Linked DNA regions of Rattus norvegicus. The protein of the gene in region 2 purifies or fractionates together with the protein of the main gene of each other region. This does not show direct contact. Links are inferred from orthologs where the notes say so. Each region holds a gene or a part of one and is shown on either strand. Other genes may lie near its edges.

Region 1 (3,648 bases), on a different chromosome or scaffold from region 2:
CCACATGGCAGCTTGCAACCACCTGGAACTCCAGTTTCAGGGGATCTGATGTAATGTCCTTTTTTGGCCTCTGTGAAAACCAGACATTTGTATAGTACACAGGCATACATACATGCAAGCAAAACCACCCATGTATATAAAAATAAAAAGTTCACACGAATCACCAAGGGTTCAAAGTCCCCCACAATCCTCAGAGGCCAAGAAAGTTTCTCTCTCACAGCAATAAGCAGGGCTTTCTAGAGATGTGGACTGAGAGCTCTGTCAAGACAGGTATGAGTGGGCTGGAGAGATGGCTCAGTGATTAAGGGCACCCGACTACTCTTCCAGAGGTCCTGAGTTCAATTCCCAGCAACCACATGGTGGCTCACAACCATCTGTAAAGATCTGATCCCCTCTTCTGGTGTGTCTTTAGACAGCTACAATGTGCTTATATATAATAAATGAATAAATCTTTAAAAAGAAAAAAAGACAGGTATGAGCAGTGGGTGTCCCAGTGTAGGCTAATAAAAGCCTGCATCCCTGATGACCCTCAGAGACTCCTCAGTCTTCCAGCTGAACCCCAATTCTGGGCACAGTTGGGAGGCAATCTTCCTTAGGAAACAGTGCCTCTCAGAGCAGCACCTGGGCCCCCAGACCTCCCCAGTTCTAACCACCCTGCGGACATGCAGCCTCTGCTATGTCCACCCAAACACACAGCCCTTCTCCTTCCCACGGGGGTTCGCTCCATCACTCTTAAATACAAGCAGAAACTGGGGGTGGGGGTGGGGGGCATTTAGGAAAAGACTCAAATAGGTGAGAAGAGACCAGAAAAGAAGAAAGCAACATGTCCCAGGCCCAGGACACACTGTGAACAACTTAAACAGACACAGGACACTGCAAGTCTGGCCACTCAGGCAGATGGGAAGTTTACACAGCAAAGATACGGCATATCGCCAGAATTATTTTAAGTACACCAGTGCTGTTCTCTTTGAAATGGTTCTTACCTGGGGTAATCCTGCCCACCTAACCGCGTGCATTTCTCAGTAAGGGGGACTTTATACCAGGCCAGACTGAATACTGGCTGTGACCCTGCTCGGTCCTCCTGGAGGCGTATCATTTGATAGGTCTAATAGCTGCTTGTAAGTCAGGGTTGTTGCCTCTGATGTGAGAATAGAGCTAACAGTCCTTGTGAAGAAACATTGACATCCTAGCCTCCTAAGTGTCTCTTATCTCTAACAGGCCTGGTTGGTACCCCACTTATCTTTAGGGTGTTTTGGAGACAGTGTTCCTTTAGCTGAATTCCACTTTGTATGACTCCATGTCTCCTAAGCAAATCCTGTATAACATCAATTCGAGTTTCTTCAATATTGGGAGGCAGAAAAAAGGAGATGGAGCAGTTAAAACACATGTACACTTAAAGCTTTTAGGAAGGTTAAAAACTGTGTGTGCACGCACATGTGCACGCGCGCGCGCGCGCGCACACACACACACACACACACACACACACACACCAAGAAAACAAAAAAAAGTTGCTACTAGGTTAAAAAAAAAAAACCACAAAACAGAAGCAGACAGAGCACTTCTGGGGGCTGGAGAGATGGCTTAGCGGTTAGAGCACTGACTGCTCTTCCAGAGGTCCTGAGTTCAATTCCCAGCAACCACATGGTGGCTCACAACCATCTGTAATGGGATCTGATTCCCTCTTTGACATGCAGGCAGGCAGAATACCGTACACGCAATAAATAAATCTTTGAACGGAGGAAAATGGTCACAGGTAAGCACACAGATTGGCTGACTGAGGGGAACTGGGCACTCCCAGCAGCAGAGGTAGACGTCTGTCTACCCAGGAGCAGGACAGGTAGAGACAAGTCTACATATGGGAAGGGCCCAGAGAGCACCATGCCAGAGTGAGGAGTTCTCCTGAGCCCCTGCTGAGATCTCACATCAGAGAAGCAGAATGTCACCCGTGTCCCAAAACACAGGATGCTAACAGAGAATGATGGCACCTTCCTGATAGCTCACCGCAGCCTACACTGTTACATGCAGCCAGATGTGACAAGATGTCCCTGTCAGATGTGGGAGATGATGCTATTAACACAGAAAAAGACTCAAGAGAAGACAAAGAAGACTCCAGAATGACTCTCCCAAGACTCTGGGATGGCAGCTGTGCATACAACCTCACCTCCAAACAATGGCTTGGGTGGGGCCAGCAGGATGCCCCAGAACACTGAGGTAGCTGACCTAGTGTGCACCCTCAACATAGCGTCTCAGCAGAAACCCGGGCAAACACAACCACAAGAGCAAGGAACAGGCCTACACATGTGCAGTCCAAGTGGTGGCACACAGCACACGAAGCTGACTCAGCTGGGAGGGCACAAGGGGGACATGGTGTCACCAGCAAGCTCCGTCTCACCTTTCCCAGGTGAGAAGTATCTGTGGTCAAAACCCAGAAGAGAGGAGGCCGAGGGCACCATCTGCAGGGCTCAGGAGGTAGGAAAGGAAAAAGCATGGTACCACCTCAGGACAGTACCTAGCTGTGCGGGCAAGCGCTCAGGGCAACCTTGAACCACCGTAAGGAGATGCTGCTACCCTCACAGAAGGGCAGGGCCCCCTTTGAGAGCCACCAGCTGGCAGGGTTCAAACAGGATCTGGCACTTGGGTTTATGTACAGCAAGCCAAGAAGCCACTGAGGCAGACATCGGAGGAGCAATTGAGACTAGGAGTCCAAGGCCTTCCAGGCGGGCTAGCATGTGCCCATCTGCCAGAAGGTCCTAATAAGAATGAATAGATGGACAGACCCAAGCACGGTGTGTACAAGAGCCATGAGTTCACAGTCACAGACAACCCTGCTCACTGCTGGGGACAAGGTCAGTCAGCTTGCTATTGTAAAACAGTAATGAATTGATGGGGTTGCATGTAGCCTTACTTTCCTGAATAACATTAAAAAATAAAATAAAATCGCCAATGAGGACAGCATACATGAGCATAATTGGATGGATACCAGAAAGAGGAATTCGAACCAGCACTGATCCACGTCTGAGTGCACCATAGGGCCTCAGCAGAGCCATTTACTGCCCCTATAGGAGTGTGCCACCACTATGATGGTCTACCAGGTAGCAAGTCCCACTAGAGTCTGCTTAAGCCCAAGATCCACCTATCCATGTGTAGGAGCCCAGGGAGAGGCACACTATAAGTTCATGCTGATACCAAGATCCAGGGCAGTAAAGGCAAGCCTGCAACACAAGCAGCCCCCATCCCCCACCCCCCACAAGACTCCTTCCTCTGGTCAGCACGTACCTGCCTCTCACAGTAGGCCTTCATCAGCTTGCTCAGCGGAGTGTGCCTCTTGATCTTGAACTGCACCACTGAGCCATCCTGCCCTGCCACTTTCAGGTTGATGTGGTCGTTCTCTGTCTTCACACCCTCCTGCAAGACATGAAAAAAAGGGTCTCGAAAGCCAGAATCACCAGGGTTTAAAGCGCAAGTTCTTGGGTAAGGTTGTTGTTTTGACTCGTTAAAAACAACCTAATTCTCAAAATTCCCCCAGCAGCTCAGAGTTGCTCGTGGGACTGTCTTATTTTTACACAGAATTTATTTTTAACCTACATTCGTTAAGCACAGTGGTAGAAACCGCAGTGCAAAGCCAGTCCTTACAGACTACCAACTCAA
Region 2 (3,648 bases):
GTAGAGCGTTTGCAAGGCCCTGGGTTCGGTCCCCAGCTCCGAAAAAAAGAAGAAAGAAAGAAAAAAAAAGAAGTGCTGGGATTTTAGCTATGCACCCCAGCACCTGACAGCCACTGGGCGTACTAAAGACTTTAACGCTTAAGTAAGCACTCACCGATTGTGGAAGTCATTTTGAAAAAGAGCCCCTGGTGTTTGTTCTCCAGGTGCTTTGTTTTTTTGTCTTATTTTTCTTTGTAGAAATCAAAACAATTCCCCTACCTGTTTTTGTTGTGCTCAGGTTGGCCTAACTATGTGGCATAGCATGACTCTACCCCCGATCCTGTCTCTGCCTCTCCAGTGCTGCAATTACAGGTGTGCACCCACAACTTCTTGTGCCTCCATGTATTTTGCTTCTGTGCTCCAGATTAAATAATGCTCCTCTTACTGAGCTGGGGGTTATACTTCATTAGTAAAGCACTTGCCTGCTCTGGCAGGAGCCCCTGAGTTCAGTCCACAAACCATAATAATTATACTGCCTTTTCAGCACCTCTTTGGTTACTATACTAGTCTGAGTGCGCGTGCACACGGTTTCTAGTGCCTACCTCGTGCTGTGCCCCTCATTTCACACTTCACATTGGTCCTTTCTGCATCACGTTGCACCTCTTTGTTTTTGCTGTCTCTGAAAGCGGTCAAGCCAGGCAACCCCTTCTTTCCTTTTGCTTTTTTCTTTTCCTTTTTTTTCTGAAACATGTTTTTGTGTGTATAACAGCCCAGGCTGTCCTGGAACTCGCTTTGTAGACCAGGCTGGCCTAGAATTCACAGAGATCTGCCTGCCTCTGCCTCCTGAGTGCTGGGACTAAAGGTGCCCACCCCACCCAGCTTCAGGTGTCCCTTCCTGAGCTCGTGTGCTTACAGGTTTAGGTTTCTATAGTGGAATGCTTTCTTTCCCGCTATCTGTATGTTGGCTGCTTGTTTATTTCGTTTTGATTGAAAAGCTCCTTCTCTGGGTTTCTTTTTGTTGTTGAGATAAGATCTTTGTGATCTAGTCTGGATGTGAACTTCCTGAGATCCCTCTTGTCTCAGCTTCCCAGCCGCTCAGATTACAGATACACTCCTTCAGAAAGGTTTTATCATTACCACTGGTCTGTTTAAAATTGCGTCTTCCTTTGTCCTCTTTTTAGACGTTTATTTTGTATTTCTGGGGATCCATGCAGGACCTCATACGTGCAAGGCTGAGCTATAACCCCAGCAGCATCATCTAGTCTTATTTTTTTTTTTGTTTTGTTTGGTTTTTTTTGTTTTTGTTTTTCTTTCTTCTTTTTTTCGGAGCTGGGGACCGAACCCAGGGCCTTGCGCTTGCTAGGCAAGCGCTCTACCACTGAGCTAAATCCCCAACCCCTAGTCTTATGTTTAAAGAGCTGCTTTCTTTACTGCTCTGTACATTGTGGAGAAGATGCATGGTACCTGCTCAATAAAGAAGTAATTTTCTGTGCAGAATTGTTTGGGACCTGTTTTCTAGATCTGAAGGTTCAGTGGTGGTTTTGTGGTACATATAGTGAAAATTAAGTTTACTTTTTCTATTGTTCTATGATTGAACAAGTCCCACTGTTTGGGGTCATCGGATTAATAACATAGCATGTGTTTCACAGGCTTCGAGCTTCTCGGGTACTGATTGTCGGCATGAAAGGACTTGGGGCTGAAATCGCCAAGAACCTTATCCTGGCAGGAGTGAAAGGGCTCACCATGCTGGACCATGAACAGGTAGGTACCATCTGGTTGCCTGGTCTCCAAGAGGCAGTGCTGTGTGTGAGTGCTGCTGGGCAAATCCGGTTCAGTGACCTGTAGGTGGGAGACTGAGGCGGGATGGAGGCTTATGCACGTATGTAGCCTTCAGCACCTGAGCTGCTGATTCAGAAGAAGGTCTGGAGTGGTTCAGGAATGAGAACATACAACAGACACCTCAGGTCAGTGTGATGGCACTTGCCTGTAATCCCAACACTCAGGAGACTGAGGCAGGATTATAAATTCAAGCCTAGCTTTTGTTACATAATGAGGCTCCTAAAGAAGTCACAATGGGGCTGGAGAGTTCTTTCAAAGTACAAATCCCTACGTTCACATTGCAGCTCAGAACTGTCCGTAACTGCAGGATCTGACATTCTCACATTCATACATGCCGGCAAAACACCAATGCACACAAAACACCAATGCACACAAAATAAAGGTATATAAACAAACAAAAATAGTCAAAATAATCTTGTACGTGAAACTCACCAATGTTACTTTGAAAAATGTTGAATCAGAGAGAAGGTATATAGAATGCATATACAGAGAATGGTGAGCGTCCAGTATTAAACTGTACATCATATGGAGATAGCACAGCAGTGCCCGGTTCACATGCAGCTTTCTCTGGCTTGTCTCTTCTTCGGGGTTGGAAGTGTGTGTTTATACACTTCCAAGCCTCACTGACATGTAAGTTTTCTAACGATTTTTTGCTGATTTGCTTGCATCTTGGTCTTTTGAGGCAGGGTCTCACTGTAGTTCAGGCTGCCGTGGGACTTGGAGTGTAGCCTCAAGCCTATGAGACCTTGCCTCAAAAAACTAGGACTTGGGGTTGGGGATTTAGCTCAGTGGTAGAGCGCTTGCCTAGCGAGCGCAAGGCCCTGGGTTCGGTCCCCAGCTCCGAAAAAAAGAAAAAAGAAAAAAAAAAAAACAAAAAAAACTAGGACTTTCTACTGTGATATGAAGAAAGCTGACTTTTGTTTGTTGGTTAGTCTGTTTTGTGACAGAGTTTCTCTGTAGTTCTTGACTGCCCTGGCACTCGCTGTGTAGCCCAATCTGGTCACTGAGATGTACCTGCGTCCACCTCCCGAGTGCTGTGATTGAAGGCAAGCATATGCGCCTCCATGCCAGGCAGGCTCCACTATGTAGGGATTGGCTGGGAGCCTGTGTAGACCAAGCTGACCTCAAACTCATGGAGATCAGCCTGTCCTCTGCCTCCATAGTGCTGAGATGAAGGGACGTGCCATAGGTTCTGACTTTTTTATTGCCATTGAGGTAGGATTTTGGTTAGCTCTAGCTGACTATGTGACTTTCAACTCTGATCTTGCCTCTGTCTCCCCAGTGTTTTTTTTTTTCTTTTTTTTTTTTTTTTTTCTTTTTTTCGGAGCTGGGGACCAAACCCAGGGCCTTGAGCTTGCTAGGCAAGCTCTCTACCACTGAGCCAAATCCCCAACCCTTCCCCAGTGTTCTTACAGGCATGAGTCACCACACTTATTTATGAAGTGTGGGTGGTCAGACCTAGGGCTTCATTACTTCTTAGATATTATTGCCAACTACACTATATTCCCATTAAAAGTTGATTAAGTTAAACCTAAGAGGAAAGTGGTATGGTGATACATACCTGTAACCCCAGCACTCACAAATCAGAGGTAGGATTGCTGCAAGTCTGAATTCATCCTGGGCTACATATCAAAGCTCTCATACAGCAAACATTTAAAAAAGAAAGAGAATCTAAGGAAATACATATCTGTGAGCAAACAGGACAATATTTCTGAAGACTACAGTGCCCTCTAGAGGTAGGAGCAAATCTGAAGAGACTTAGTACATATGCCACCAAGCAGTGATCTGGCTGTGGGGTTCTAGTGGTTCTAATGCATACCTGCTGTGTGA

What was found.
Region 1: the proteins of Sae1 (region 2) and Sumo3 purify together in Homo sapiens (affinity purification with mass spectrometry; 3 studies listed by BioGRID and IntAct, with this or other methods). This does not show direct contact. The link is inferred for Rattus norvegicus from reciprocal best matches to the Homo sapiens genes SAE1 and SUMO3.

What each region holds. Positions count from the first base shown.
Region 1 is NC_086038.1:11,013,741-11,017,388, forward strand, and holds part of Sumo3 (small ubiquitin-related modifier 3), read right to left. Parts: intron 3,406-3,648; coding exon 3,277-3,405; intron 1-3,276. UniProt on the Homo sapiens protein: Ubiquitin-like protein which can be covalently attached to target lysines either as a monomer or as a lysine-linked polymer. Does not seem to be involved in protein degradation and may function as an antagonist of ubiquitin in the degradation process.
Region 2 is NC_086019.1:86,204,963-86,208,610, reverse strand, and holds part of Sae1 (SUMO-activating enzyme subunit 1), read left to right. Parts: intron 1-1,628; coding exon 1,629-1,740; intron 1,741-3,648. UniProt on the Homo sapiens protein: The heterodimer acts as an E1 ligase for SUMO1, SUMO2, SUMO3, and probably SUMO4. It mediates ATP-dependent activation of SUMO proteins followed by formation of a thioester bond between a SUMO protein and a conserved active site cysteine residue on UBA2/SAE2.